Rhinolophus ferrumequinum: one gene and its partner. The main gene of each other region encodes a partner of the protein of the gene in region 2 in a complex. Links are inferred from orthologs where the notes say so. Each region holds a gene or a part of one and is shown on either strand. Other genes may lie near its edges.

Evidence for each region.
Region 1: the proteins of FLT1 (region 2) and VEGFB are in contact, whole or in part, in a crystal structure (PDB 2XAC), measured with the Homo sapiens proteins. The link is inferred for Rhinolophus ferrumequinum from reciprocal best matches to the Homo sapiens genes FLT1 and VEGFB. Residues at the interface, in NP_002010.2 of Homo sapiens: Tyr139, Glu141, Pro143, Phe172, Pro173, Tyr199, Ile202, Gly203, Leu204, Asn219, Leu221, Arg224, Thr226; in NP_003368.1 of Homo sapiens: Ser37, Trp38, Ile39, Tyr42, Thr43, Thr46, Cys47, Gln48, Pro83, Asp84, Asp85, Gly86, Leu87, Cys124, Arg125, Pro126.

What each region holds. Positions count from the first base shown.
Region 1 is NC_046294.1:7,180,438-7,187,442, forward strand, and holds VEGFB (vascular endothelial growth factor B), read right to left. Parts: upstream 3,002-7,005; 5' UTR 2,884-3,001; coding exon 2,815-2,883; intron 2,658-2,814; coding exon 2,615-2,657; intron 2,291-2,614; coding exon 2,094-2,290; intron 1,912-2,093; coding exon 1,838-1,911; intron 1,643-1,837; coding exon 1,607-1,642; intron 1,366-1,606; coding exon 1,152-1,365; coding exon of another isoform or gene 1,130-1,151; intron 508-1,129; coding exon of another isoform or gene 486-507; 3' UTR 63-485; downstream 1-62. Other genes in the region: DNAJC4 (dnaJ homolog subfamily C member 4), read right to left, coding at 3,926-4,034, 4,127-4,213, 4,880-5,044, 5,126-5,310, 5,735-5,828, 6,489-6,607. UniProt on the Homo sapiens protein: Growth factor for endothelial cells. VEGF-B167 binds heparin and neuropilin-1 whereas the binding to neuropilin-1 of VEGF-B186 is regulated by proteolysis.
Region 2 is NC_046287.1:100,321,733-100,328,935, forward strand, and holds the start of FLT1 (vascular endothelial growth factor receptor 1), read right to left. Parts: upstream 3,019-7,203; 5' UTR 2,605-3,018; coding exon 2,541-2,604; intron 1-2,540. UniProt on the Homo sapiens protein: Tyrosine-protein kinase that acts as a cell-surface receptor for VEGFA, VEGFB and PGF, and plays an essential role in the development of embryonic vasculature, the regulation of angiogenesis, cell survival, cell migration, macrophage function, chemotaxis, and cancer cell invasion.

The DNA.
Region 1 (7,005 bases), on a different chromosome or scaffold from region 2:
GATGCAGACATTCATGCCTAAATCAGCCAACCTGGACAATGACAAACAGGGACACAGGCAGGGACAGCTCCTTCCATCTCTTTTATCAGGGTTGGGGGGAGGGTCACAGTTGTCACACCGAGGCCCAACTCCCATTATTTGCAGAGGATCAGGGTCTTCTTAGGGGAGGGAGGGGCCACTCGTAAGATGCTCCCTTGCACAGGGTGGTTAAACAATGAGACAGGACCCCATTCTCTCCCAAGTTGGTATGCGACCCTTCTTGCTGCCTGCAAGTCTCCTCATCCAACTCTGCCCTTCCTGTTGGATGGCAGCCTTGCAGAGACAAGGGATGGCCAGAAAGCCCTGAGAAGCCCAGGTCCTGGAGCAGCTTCCGCCTGGGCTGAGGTCTTGAGGGGCTGGGATGCTCTCACCAGGCTGCCCTCTAGTCCCCCTCTGGGGTGTGGCCTATGAGGCAAGTGGCCCTGCTGAGTCTGAAAAGCAATGTGTCACCTTCGCAGCTTCCGGCACCTAAGGAGGGGAGGAGGAAGGGGGTCTGGTTATGCTGCCACAGCTCAGCACCTGCTCCTCTGGACTCACCCCTTTACCTCCTGTGAACCCCATTCTCTCCTAACATTCCTGGGAAGCCCCAACTGGCCTGGCCCACGTGATGCACCCATGGCCTCGTTGTGGAAGGGAGGGGTGGTGAGAAGCCCTTGGACAAGAGTGGACAGGTTACACTATGTCCCCTAGCCTCTCAGAGCCCACAAGGTAGGACAAATGTCTACCACAGGGGCTTCTCGGAAGGCCCAGAGCTTTGCAAATTGGAAAGTTGTCTCTCTTGTTTCTACTCCAGGCACATGTCACCTCCTCCAGGACATCTCTGACCTCGTAAAGACGATGTCAAGTGCCCCGTACCATAGGCCTCAATAGCCTCTGCCAGCATCATGTGTCCTTGTGTCTGACTTCCGCATTTGATAGAACGTGTGCCTTGTGTATGCCAATCCCAGTGCCCACAGACACTTGGTAAATATTTGTTCAACACATTCAACAGTTTCCCCTACCCTGGCTCTTCTCCCACTGGTAGACTTACCCTGGACATGCTCCAGGACTTGCTGCCTTCCCAAACAACTGCCATCCCACAACTACTCACCTGCAGGTGTCTGGGTTGAGCTCTAAGCCCCGCCCTTGGCAACGGAGGAAGCTGCGGCGTCGGCAGCGGCAGCGGCAGGTCCTGGGGTCAGGGCGCTGGCGGCGCTGGGTGCAGCGTGGGCAGAGGGGCCTGGGGCTGGAGTGGGATGAGTGATGTCAGCTGGGGAGGGTGCTCCGGGGGAAGAGTCCCAGCCCGGAACAGAGCGGGGCTGGGGACGGTGGTGGGGAGTGGCAGCCCTAGGAGGAGAAGCAACATGTCTGGGGCGGGAAGGAAGTCTTCCCCGGAAGGAGCTGAGGTCAGGTCAGAGCATACAGACTGGAGAGCAAAGAAAAAGGCAGAGGGGGGCACAAGTGGGAGGACAAAGGGGAGGGGACCACACCTGACACACTCGTACAGCCCCCACCCCACCCACAGGTTACATCCTGGGCACTGGGCCTGGTCTCCAACCCCACCTCAGCAGGAGGCCAAGAGACTCACCTGTCCGGCTTCACAGCACTCTCTTTTTTTTTTGGTCTGAAAAGTAAGAGAGACCGACAGAGACAAAGAGGAGGAGGATCAGGAAGGCCCAGCATCCTACTCTGTTGCCCCAGATCCCAGGCCTACTCTGGCTCCACCCTCAAAATCCTGGTCCCCACTGCGGTATCCCACCACGCCCAGCACCCCCGAAGCCTGGTCTCTGCGAGCTCAGACGTGGGGCCTGGCTGGCACCTGCATTCACACTGGCTGTGTTCTTCCAGGGACATTTCCCCCAGCTGACTGCTCGGGTACCGGATCATAAGGATCTGCACTCAGAAAAATGGAGAAAGACAATGAGAGAGAGAGAGGGGGGAAGAGAAGGGGACACTCCATGGGCTGGAGGGAGGACAGCTCGCCCACCAGCCAGGGCCCTGGCCATCACCCCTGCAGCCCCCAGAGCGCCAGCATCCGTCCACCCCAGCCAGGCATGCACGACTTGCCCCAGTACCTGCATTCGGACTTGGTGCTGCCCAGTAGGCACGCACTCTAGGCCGTCGTCAGGGCAGCAGCCACCGCAGCGCTGCACAGTCACACAGCTGGGCACCAGTTGCTTGGCCACGGTGCCCATGAGCTCCACAGTCAGGGGCACCACCACCTCTCGCGGCTGGCAGGTGGCACGAGCATACACATCTATCCATGACACCACTGAGGACACATGTATAAGGGTTAAGTCCCCACTGGGTGTCCTGCAGCTGTTCCCTGGCTCCCCTACCCCTGTGCCCAGCAGCTGTTTTCCCTAGTTCCTGTGTCACGGCCACCCTCCACTAGCCCCACCTTCTGCCCTCCCACCCTGCCTTCCCCTACCCTCTTCATCTAGAACCCGGGAACCCCACTGCCTCAATCTCCACTTCTGGGAAATGGGCAGATTATTAAGAGTTTGCATCTTACAGAGCAGTTGTGGTTACACAAGATGATGGACACATAACATACCTTCTCAGTGCTGGCTAGAGAAGTTATTGTTACTATTACCTTTCTTCTGGTGGCCAGGGACATCAGGCTGGGAGACAGGAACCTGTAGGAGAGAAGAGAGCTGGACCCAAGGTGCACTCTAGTTAGGGCTAGCCCTGTCACTATTCCCAAGGCTCTGTCTAACCTTGCAGTTAGAAGGTTTCAACTCCTCTCTGACATTTTTCCAGATTGCTCTATTTCTGGGTCCACTCTAGCTTTACCTGTCCTCTCCTGGCCACCAGGGACCTGCCCCCGGCCAGGACCCTCCAGCTGAGCTCTGTCGGCGTCATGGAACCTCTAAGCCTGGGGACCAGGCTTGTTCCAGTGGCCACAGGTCAGAAGGGAGCACAGTGGGAGCCGAACTAGGTCCTTCGGGCACTCAGGAGGCTCCGCCCCTGGCTGCGCCCAGGGGATGGGGTGGGGCGGGGGAGTGGCCCCGGGACTGGGTTGGCGGGCCAGTGGGGAGGGACATCTCCCGGGGGATGCCCTGGTCAGACTCCTGCAACACCACCGTCCGCGGTCCGACCCGCAGATCCCCTCCGCGGAGGCCTCTCAGCGCCTCCCCACTTCCGCCAACCTTGAGAGAGGGCACGGCAGGCGGGCGGGATGTCGGGGACGCACGTACCTGGGCGGGGGCCAGCTGCAGGAGCGCGGCGAGCAGCAGGCGGCGGAGCAGGGGGCTCATGGTGCCCGCGGGGGCCGCGCGCCGGGGGCGCCCGCATCGCCCTAGCCCGGCGGCGCCGGGGGCGGTGGCAGCCAGAGCCCCATGGCGCGGGCCCGGGCGCGGCGGTCGGGGGCCGGGCGCGGGGGGCGGCTTCTCCGCAGCCCCCTCCCGAGCCCTGGGCGCAGGCAGCGCAGCGCAGCGGCGGCGGCCGTTGGAGCCGGGCGGCCCGTGGCGGCGGCGAGCGGCGGGCGGTGGAGGCAGCGGGGACGGCGGGGGCGGCAGGGGGCCGGGCCCGGGCTGGCGGGCGGGCGGCTCATGTGACCCAGACACGGGCTCCCCACCGGGCCGTGGGGCAGAGGCGGGGCGGGGGCCGGAGGGGGGGGCGAGGCCGCCGGCGGGCCCGCCCCCTCCACACACCCCCTCCCTCCGCAGCAGGGGAAAGGGGACGCACCGCCCAAGGGGCCGGGCTCCTGGGTCGCTGCCGCCAGAACCCGGAGGGCGGGGCGCTGTCCCACGGCGAGGCCGGGGATGGAGGGGTGGGGGAGAGGGGGGTGCTGGGGCTGAAGGAGTGAAGCGGACACGAGCGCAGAGAACCACTTTATTGCATGCATTTTGGGGAGTGGAGAGTCCCGGGAGGAAACACAGCAGGCCCCATTCAGGTGAGCTGCTCACGGGCTGGTGCCTGGGGGCACTGTCCCTGGGCCTGGGGGAGGCCCCGGTGGTGGCTGCAGCTGCTGCCTCTGCTTTTGCTCCTGCTGGAGCCTGGCTCTGTTGGCCCTGCAGGAGAGAGCATCGGGGTGGCTGGGACAGGGATCCTGGAAGGTGGTGCTGGGACAGTGAAGAGAGGGCAGGGTAGAGCAGGGACAGACCTGGCCCGGGCCCGTGTATCATTGTAGATGGCTGTGATGATCCGATCCTTTTCATCCATGAAGCTACGGTGCATCTGCTCCAGCTTCCTGCATGGGGGTTACAATTAACCCTGGGTCCCCCAAACCCTGCTGTCCTCCAAGTCTCACCCCCTGCACCCTACTCTAGGGTCTCACAGCTTTACATCTGCAAGGACCTCAGCCTAACTGCCTGTGCTAGGCAGGGAGAGGGACACATAGAGGGTCCAATGGCGACCCAAATCCCCCAGCTGTTCAGCACTGAACATCAGGATGGTCCTCACAGATTTGAAAGAGTTGTGCGTACAACTCCATCACTGAACTAGGCAGGCTGCTAGCAGTGGGCATTGCACTGCCTTTAAGTATCTTTGCTGTAGAACCTGTTATGACATGCATGAGAGAGGGGCGGGGTGACAGTTGGCTGCCAAACAAGTGAAAACAGTTGCTGGTGAGGCCTTGTTACAAAGCATTTCTTTCTTTTGCATGATTTTGGTTGGCTCTGCCACTCCATGGCAGCCAGCACCAAAGATTTACTTTCAAATTATTTTAAAAAACCCTGAAAACGACACTAGCCCTTAGAGCAGCGCTGTCTTTGCTAAATGAGCAAATGCTCCGGAGATGTATTTCATGCAATTCTTAGCTGGAGAGACACAAGTGCAAGCGACAGGGGTGGTGGGATGGCTGGCTGACCACACTGGGCTTTACCCCCCTGCCCCTCTCCCCCCAGCAGGGATGCACCTGAAAGCAACATAGTGCAGGCCCATGCCTGCCAACATGATCAGGAGGCAGTACCCCATCACCCGCTGGTTGTGTCTGTGCTGCTGCTGCCTCGATTCTGGTCCCTGAGGCCTCACGCCATGAAACTGGGCCCAGTATTGTGCATTGGGGGCTGTCCAGGAGCTGCTGGGAGGGAGAAGGGGCAGTGTGGGGATGAGGCTCCCTAAAAGATTTGGTGGGGGGCAAGCTAGCAGCAAGATACAGTACCTGTGTGTTTGATGAGCAGACCTGGGATGGGCTGTGGTTCCTGGAGACTTTGGGGGAGTTGTGCAGCGAAGCTGGTGGTCATAGTTGCGGCGACTCTGCTCCCGGCTAAGCACTTGATACGCTTCACTCAGCTCCACAAAGCGGCTGTGCAGGGCCGGGTTCCCAGGGTCCCGGTCAGGGTGCAGCTGGGGTGGGGCAGGACTCCCCTCATCTCCTTTCCCATGTCTCTTCCCAGGACCCATCTTGATAATGTCCACCCACAAGGGCTCAAATCATTCCCAGAGGCCCTGTCTGGGCAGCGACCCTCACCCTCGGGCCAGCCACCCCTCCAAAGGGGTGGCTGCTTGGCTCTCACTGTTTGCGCTGGTCCATGCTTTCTCAAGAGCCGATAGGTCAAGAGAACCAAGCCCAGCCCATCAGACAGCACACCCCTGGCTTTCCTCTGGCCGGGCCAGACATCTGCTCTTGGGGTGCTCCCCTTCCACATGCGTGCTGATGGAATGTGGCACCAGCTAGAGTGAACTACTCAGCTCCATTCCTGGGAATTTGGAGTGCATCCCGTCTGGCTCAGACTTCCCCTCCCACTTCCCTTCCTAGGACCACTGGTACCTCTTTGGACTTGGAGAAGAAAGCTCGTTTAATTTGTTCAGGGCTGGCACCAGGATGCACCCCCAACAGTTCATAGTAGTTACTGGGGCCAGACCTGTGGAGAGAGGCTGGAACTTGCAGGGACTAAGGAAACAGAGGATACCACTTCCCTACCCTTCCTAGCCCCCCTGGGCTACACCCTTCAACTCAGCAACCAGTAGCTGAGGGGACTGAGGCAGGTACCAAGGGAGATCTATCTCCAAATCATCCCTCCTTTCGGAGTGTTTTGGGAATGGTGCAGATCAGAACATCTCAAAGTGTAGTCCTCATCAGACTCCTTGTGTCAGAAACACCTAAAAAGCTTGTTTAAAAAAAACAGATTCCTGAGTCCAACCTCATAGCTGCAGCTCAGAAGCTCCAGAGCAGGGCCCAGGAATCTGCATTTTTGTAAGGACCACCCCACCCCGTGGGTTATGCACAGTGATGTTGGACAACCACAGGAGTTGTGGAAAACACACTGGGTTTGGCTTGGGCTCAAACTCCAGGTTTGCCACTTAACTCACTGTATAACCTTGGTGGTTGTCCCTTCATCTCTGATCCTGTCCTCAGCAGTGAAGGTGAAGTTTACCTGAGACAAGCCTGTAAGGCACCTGACACAGAATAGAGAGATCACAACTACCTCAGTACCTAGGGCAGGGCCTAGAGCTGAGCACGCCCTCAACAAAAACCCGCTGAACTACAGGGCCGACACCGGGCCCCCAAAGACCGAACTCACCGCTGCCGAGTGGCCTCTGCGAAGAGCCGGGTGGGAGGGCTGCGGGGCCACAGCCGGCATAGGCGCAGGGGCAGCATGGCGGCAGGCGGGCAGCTGGTGAAAGGCCACAAAGAATGCATTGGGACCAAACTTCAAGCACTCCGGGGGCAGAGCGAAGGGGCCATTTACTTGCGAAAGAAAATTGAAGCAGGCCCAGGGGACAGAGGGGCAGGTGGGGCCTCCTTGCTCAAAACCAGACCCCAGTATCTTGGACCTGTCCTACCCCTGACCCAGGCCCTTCTTCACGCTGGCGTCTGTGTCTGGACACCCAGCCCCCGGCCGGGAGACCCCCTGCCCCACTCTGGGAGCTAGGGTGGCGGGCAAAGGAGGAGCCACACCAAGCCCCGCCCCCGCTGCACTCACGGACTCCGCGGTTGCCACCATTTCCTACGCCGACTCAGGTCCACCCGCACATTCTCATTGGCTTAGAAACTCAGGCCACGCCCACCTAGCCAGAAAGTGCGATGAAGGCCCTGTC
Region 2 (7,203 bases):
TTATGAGATTTATTACATTCAATTTGGAAATGGGTATTATTTTCATGTAATTGTTATTTAACTTTATGTTATTCATGTAGACTTCCCTCCCAAAATTTCCAAGTGCAGCATTTCCAATTAGTTATAGCAAATTGTAAATGTTAGCTGCTCAAAGATGCAGGGAAAATTGGGACAGAAAAAAAGGGTCTGTGGCTTTAGTGTAGGACGTGGTGGTGCCTTAGAAGTAAGAAAATGAGGCTTTGGAGAAAAGGGGCTTTTTTTTTTTTTTTTAAGAGGAAGATTGCAATATAGACGTGTTGCAAATAGCTAAATTATTGGCATCTTTTTATTTCCCAGGGTGTTTGGAAGAAGGTACATATACTCCTTGGGGGAAATGCATTATCCTTTTGTATTACTGAACCTCTGGTTATTTTATCTTGCAATGCACACATGCACATCACCCCCCACCCCGGCCCCCACCCCCCCATACACAGTAATAATAACTGATAAATCTGCAAAGTCTGTGAGCAGACCCTGGCCCAGGATGGATGCAGGCGGAACTCCTGATATATCCACAGGACAGAAACTTGGCCCCTTTTGGGCCCCCCTCCCCAGAGCTGCGGCCCTTGGGTTCAGTTCAAAAGCCCTGATATGGTTTAGAAAGTCAGTAGCGACTGTTTCGCCGATTGTTTCACCGTAAGATGTCTGTTCACCAGACGGAGAAGCCTGTGGTTTAAGAAGGCAGGCTTTGAAATTACCAATGCCATCCGCTGATGGAACGGTCCCCAAACCGGCAGGTAAAGGGGTTCTCACCTTGTCAGTGTTTTGTCTTGCTTTCTTCCTATAACACATGTGTAAATTTTGTTTAATCACAAGAGTTCCAAGATTTCTGCCTCATTTAAGTAAAATAAAATCTAAGAGTAATCACAAGAGGATCTCACGTTTCTGAAAAGCCTCCACCGATCTCAGTAGCCCCTAATAGAGAACTATACTTCACTAGTCAACCACAGCTTTGAAACAAAGATAAAGTTATATCTGTGCGAAGCAGAAAATCTAATAAAACATATATTCTTCCCTCCATTCTTCGGATTTACGGCAATAACCTAGATTTACCTTTATGTAACAGACAGATGGACTTTAGCAAGTTATTTAAACGCTCTAAGCAATTGTATCAAAAAAAGTGACTTTCAAAACAAAAATGTAGTTTTGAATTAGAAAAGCAACATTTAATTTAATATAGTTGTTTTAGCAACTTTCCCCACTTACAGCGAGTTCTCAGAATTACTTCACCTTGCTTCTAGGTTTAATGGTTTCACCAATCTAGTTGGCACTATTGCTTGTTATTTAGAAACTGATGGTCTAATTAGTTTTCCCACTGTGAAAGACTGTTTGACTGTTACAGCCTTTGGAATTTAACAAGAATTTTTTAAAACAAAATACGCTCAACCCTACTGACTTTCTTTCCCGGGATCATTGCAATTATTTATTTTATTTTATGCTACTGTCTTTCATGTCATATTTCACCTTTTCTCCATGATGGTTAACAGAAAGGCGCTCCGAAATCTGGCTCTCTGTGCCCACGGGGCCGAACCAAAAGGCTCGGCCACTCTGTCCCGCTAGGCAGAGCCTCGAGTCCGAGCTCCGAAATCCCCGCGGGCTGTGGCGCCTCCTCGCTGGGGCGGCTTCCAACCTAATCGCTGTGCGACCTTCTGGCCCCGAAGGTTCTGCTGCCTGTTTCCCTAACACCCAGGAAAGGGGCGGACCTCACTCGTTCCTCAAAGGCATCTTTTGGTCCAAATCGTCGGCCCTTTCTTCTTTCGGAATTTAAAGGCTAGATTTGCAATTCCGAAACTTAACGGCATTCGGGTTCCCGACTGGCCTCGTTGGTCAGGTTCACTCAGGTCCGCGACCTGGGCAGGCTGCGCGCTCCGGCCCCGCGGTGGGAGAAACGCGGGAGGAGTGGACGCTCGTAGGACATCCCGGGGACAGTCGGGCTCGGGGACCCGAAGTGAGTCGAAAGATACCAGCTCTTGCCATCTCCGGGGTTTTGTCTGCTCCCGGCAAACAAGCGAACGCCTCCAGGAGGGCTCTCCTCCTTCCCTCTCGAGGCGCGACGTCGTGGCCTGTGCCCAACATCGCCACCGTGGGGCCTCAGCCCAGCCCCCCGGCGGCCTCACGGGAGTTCTGAGCGCCGCGGCTCTAGGCTCCGGAGGGCCCGGGGACCCGCTCCAGGCCTTCTGGAAGCAGGTCTGGGGGTCAGGCAGATCCGGGTGCGCGGCGCTCCCCGAGCACGGAGCCAGGCAGAACGGATCAACGACTTCAGCCGCCAAGCGGCTGGAGCCCAGCGCTGTCCCGGGCGGCGATGCCCGCGGGTCCCGCCTGCTGCTCTCCGAGGCGCGCACCCTGACCACCCAGCGGAGGAGAAGGGCGCCACGGCCCCAGGCGTGCCCAATGCGACGCGTGTCCCAGGTTCCCGCTGAGGCTCGCCTCCCCGAGGGCCCCCGGCCCCGGCCACCAGGGTGTGCCCCTGCCGCCCCATCACGGCCCGGGTCGCGCCCTACCTGTGAGAAGCAGACCGCCGAGCAGCGCGCACAGCAGGACGCCGGTGTCCCAGCAGCTGACCATGGTGAGCGCGACGCGGCCTGCTCGCCCGGTGCCCGCGCTCCTGACGGGAGACCTATCCAGCCGCCGGAAACTGTCTTCTTGCTCTCGGCGGCCGCTGGCCCTGCGCTCTGGCTGCGCGCCCCGGGCGCCACTATCCGCGGCTCCAGCCAGGAAGACGGCCACTTGCCGGGTAATCCTCGCAGCTCCGCGTGCTTGGCCGCTGCGCTCCAGTCCGGGAACTCGCTGCGAGCCGGAGCCGCCGCCGCCGCCGCCGCCGCCGCCGCCGCCGGGGAAGAGCCGCGAGGAGTGTCCGGCGGGCGCGCTCCGAGACTCCAGCGGACCTTGCTGAAGAGCAGCTGAGGGCGGGGGCCATTTATAACCTTTCCACAGCCCACTTCCTACCCCGGCACCTCCTTCCAGTGACGTCAAGGGGTCCCCCACCCCTCATCCGCCTCCCCACCTACCCTCTTCCTCCGGGACCTGATTCCCTAAGGCTACAGAGAGGGGCGGGGGCCGCCGGGGGCGGGGGGCCGGGGCTGAGCGCTCCGCGGGGCGGAGAGCGCGCGTGCTCTGGGAGGCGCTGGAGACGCGTCCCGGGAGCGCAGCCCCGGGCAGGTTCAGGGTCCGCGCTCCCGTCTCTCCTGCCCCCGTCCCTCCTCCTGCCCCCGTCCCTCCTCCTGCCCTTAGTGCTCAGGAAATCCTTGCAGTCTCCCTCCACCCGGTTTACTCAGCCCTGGGGGCCGCCCGAAGCTGGGAAGGGGACAGGACTGCAGCTCCACCGCCCGCCCCCTGGGCGGAAAGTCCGATCCACGGGAAGCTGGCCGCGCCCCCGAGACGGTGTTCTTGGCACCAAGGAGTGAGGCGCAGTCCGACTCCCTTCTCGTCCTTGCCCTTCCCGCCTGTCCAGCTGCCCCCCAGCTCCCTGACTGTACCCAGACGTCTAGGAAGGCGCCGGAAACCTTCGGAACCGGGGACTGGAATGGGAGCGCCGGAGGGCACCGGACGCTTGCCTGGCACCTTCTGGAAGACCGCGAACCGGCTCTGGTCCCTGGGGAGTGCGTCTGTGTCTTTTTCGGCCACAGATGCTCCCGCCCAAGTCGTTTCCTAAACCCGCCGCTTCCTAGAAGAAAAACAAGGCTTAGTATCGTGATACCTTTTTAAAAGCTGAGGCGTGAAACTGCTCCTACAACTTGTAAGGGCCGACCTGGCACGTGAACTTTATTTCCTAAATGCTCGAAAAAAATCTTTCTGATGGGAGCTTGTTACGCAAGACGATTGACTGCTGGTCTTCGAAAAAAACCAAGTGAAATAAACTTGAGCCACTAGATCATTTGCGATGGCACCAATTCCACTTTGTTCTTTAATTTTGTCCGCATGACCTCAAAGGCTGGAAGCGTCCTGGGCTCCACTGAGCAGCTCAGCCTTCTCTCTGTAAATACCGCCGCCTTGAAAAATAGTTCTACTGGAACCTGCAGATGGTCAAGATAAAAGGAATTGTGATGACTCCTAAACGGGGCCAGCGACTCTTCCAGAAGGACTGGACTACCTCCCCGTATGGGAAGATTGGGCAACTCGAACTTGCCACACCTCTCTGCACTGTAGAACAAGGACAGGTCCTTGCCACCCTCCGCCCCACGCAGGAAACGCGTGTCCGCGCACCTGGCGCCGGGGCGCCTGAGCCACAGTCCCTCGTGGTTCAAAAGGAAGCAAGACGCGCGAGGTCATTGCTAGCCCGCGGGCTTCATCACCCTTTTCCATTTTCGCAGTGCTCCTCACCGCGCTCCCTGGCCGTTTTACTCTGCCTCGCCCGAGCCTGATTTCTCCAAAACCACAGGCTCATTCCTTGAAAGTAAACACGGAACGCAGGGATGGAAGCTGACAGCGGATCCTTCTCGAACCTGGTCCCCCAGCCCAGGTCACAGTCTGGGACTCACCCGAGAGAGAGCCTCACTTCAGAGCCCCGTGTCACTGCCCCCATCCCTCCGAAGGAGAAGCCGTCAGCATTGCCCTTCTGCCACCTCCTATGGACCAGGCATTGTGTTAGAGCCAAAAAACACTGATGGGAAGATCTCATCTCTGCCTTCTAAGGACGGGGCTTAGAATCTGGGAAGGAAGTTGGCACGGAAAGGGGCCAAGACAGCATAGTGTCAGGATCACAGGGCTGGGGGCGGGGGCGGGGGCGGGGATGGGTGGGGGAGGTTCGGGTTTGCTATGGGCACAGAGAAGAGGTGGTCTGTCCGGTCTGGAGGACTCAGGGGGGATTCTCAGGAGAGACCCTTAGCTGACCCTGGGGGGAAAGTGGTCCATAGCACAACCTACAAAAGTTTAATACAACTTTTCAAATGCGATTTGATTTTTAAAAAACTCTCCCAATACCCTCTTCAGAAAGGAATGTAAAGACTTCGTTTGTGAAGCCGGAACAGGTCATTGTTGAACGGCTGAAACAGGTTTCATAATCTCAGATGCCAGTCAACAATTTATTGCTCAATTATTTAAGGTTAAAAGAGTCATGGTTGAATGACTTAATTTACCCCAAAATCATTTTGCATCGAGTGGTCCTTCACAAATCCCCCAACTATTCTTTTGAAAAGTTGCAGGCTTTAATGATAGCAATTTCTTTACGACTTCTTCTTTTGTTAGTCGCATTAGCTTCCTCACAAGAATTCAACATGCTACAGGTTGTCACCAGGTTTGCTCATGATTTCATTTTAGCTTAGATAAATTTTAGCATTGAGATAAATGAACATCTAAATTAAAATGATGAGAAAGAAAGGTATGACTCTCAACCCTCTCCCTCGCTCCACTAAAAGAGATAATACATTTGAATAAGAATGGGCTACAGTACTCTCCAACTAAATCACTAACGAAGAGGTTTTATAGATAGTGGAGATGGAAAAGATCTATTTCAACATGCCTGGTGCATATAAAAAGCTATTGAAGTGGACTATCTACTTCCTTCCTGCCCACACACAAAGAACATTTCATCTCCTGCAAAACCAGACACTCTCTCTTGTTATCAGCTATAAACATTCTCTGAGGATTCTTTCTAGTCCCTATTCAGAGGCACACTCTTGGTAAAACCAACAGTTTTAATGTTCAAGACGGAATAATAGTGTGGGAGCATCAGTGTGGGAGACAAGAGAGAACCCAGGGCCTCATCTTCCTGCAGCGGACCATGTGTGGAAGGGCTCAGCTTGCAGTCACTGGGGCTCAATCAGGAATCTCATCCCCACATGGGCTAGGTAGCTTCAGACCAAAGGAAAAAATAACATCTGTGGCTACACGCTGCATAGCATAAGTATGTGTGGTTGGCCACGGCAACCAAATGATCTCATAAAACCCTGCTGTGTTATATGAAAAGAACACCTCACAAGACATAGCCACACGACATGACAGTTCAGGCTGCTTGGAGGAAGCACATACAGACCTGGTGTGGCAAGCACTGCGGATGGAGTTCCTCGGGGGCCATCTCTTTTCTGCCTCTCCCCCACCCCCACACCTCACTCTGGTCCCAACTACCTGTTCCTCACCTGTTAGTGCTTATCTCACTTTTTTTTTAAATAAATTTTATTGGGAAATATTGGGGAACAGTGTGTTTCTCTCCAGGGCCCATCAGCCATTGTCCTTCAATCTAGTTGTGGAGGGCGCAGCTCAGCTCCAAGTCCAGTCGCCATTTTCAATCTTTAGTTGCAGGGGGCGCAGCCCACCATCCCATGTGGGAATCGAACTGGCAACCTTGTTATTGAGAGCTCACGCTCTAACCAACTGAGCCACCCGGCCGCTCTTGCTTATCTCACGTTGATTTATTCAGGGTTCCAGCTCTTTTGAGGCTGTGTGTCCCAGTGCTGGACTCCTAGTTAGCTCGTATCTCCTTCTGCTCCCCAGGGGCTGTGACATAGACACTGTGCTTCTGTTACTGCAACCTAAGATCAAAGAAGCCTTTTCTGTCGGCTACTTCAGACCCTGCACTCTTAGGGAACCTACTCTGGGTTAACACCCGGAGGCTTTTTCACAAGAGCTGTACAGCCCTGGCTTTGACAACTCAAATCGCAGACCCTTATACACCCTTTTATTAAACTTCTTATTTGATTTAGTCCATCTTTCTGGCCTGTTTGAAATCTTTCTGATCTCCAATTCTGCCATTTAGTGCATATTCTATATCTCTTGCTTCAAATTATCCACAAATAGGATAAGTGTGCCATTTGGGTCGTCATCAAAATCATTAAGGAGGAGAGAGATGAATGAATGAATGAATGAATGAATGAATGAATGAATGAATGAATGGATTTAAAGAGGTTGAGGAAACCAAAGTATTCCTTTGTCAAGGGAGGGCTGCATATTAACTCGTTAGTATTTACCATGTCATTATTAGGAATAACTGATGGTCTGAACAAGAGTTAATAAGACAGGTAAGTTTTATTCAAGGTATTCTAGGAAAGTAAAAACAAAAAAAACAAAAATCCAGACTGATATCAGTAAAGAAGATTGGGGCAGGAGAAAGGCAAAACAGAGAAGGGAATACTAAGGGAAAAATAGTCGGCTAAAGAAATCTGCGTAAGTGTCATCTAATCATGATAATTAACAAGTTTGCCAAAGGTGAATTTTATCTCAGTATATAAC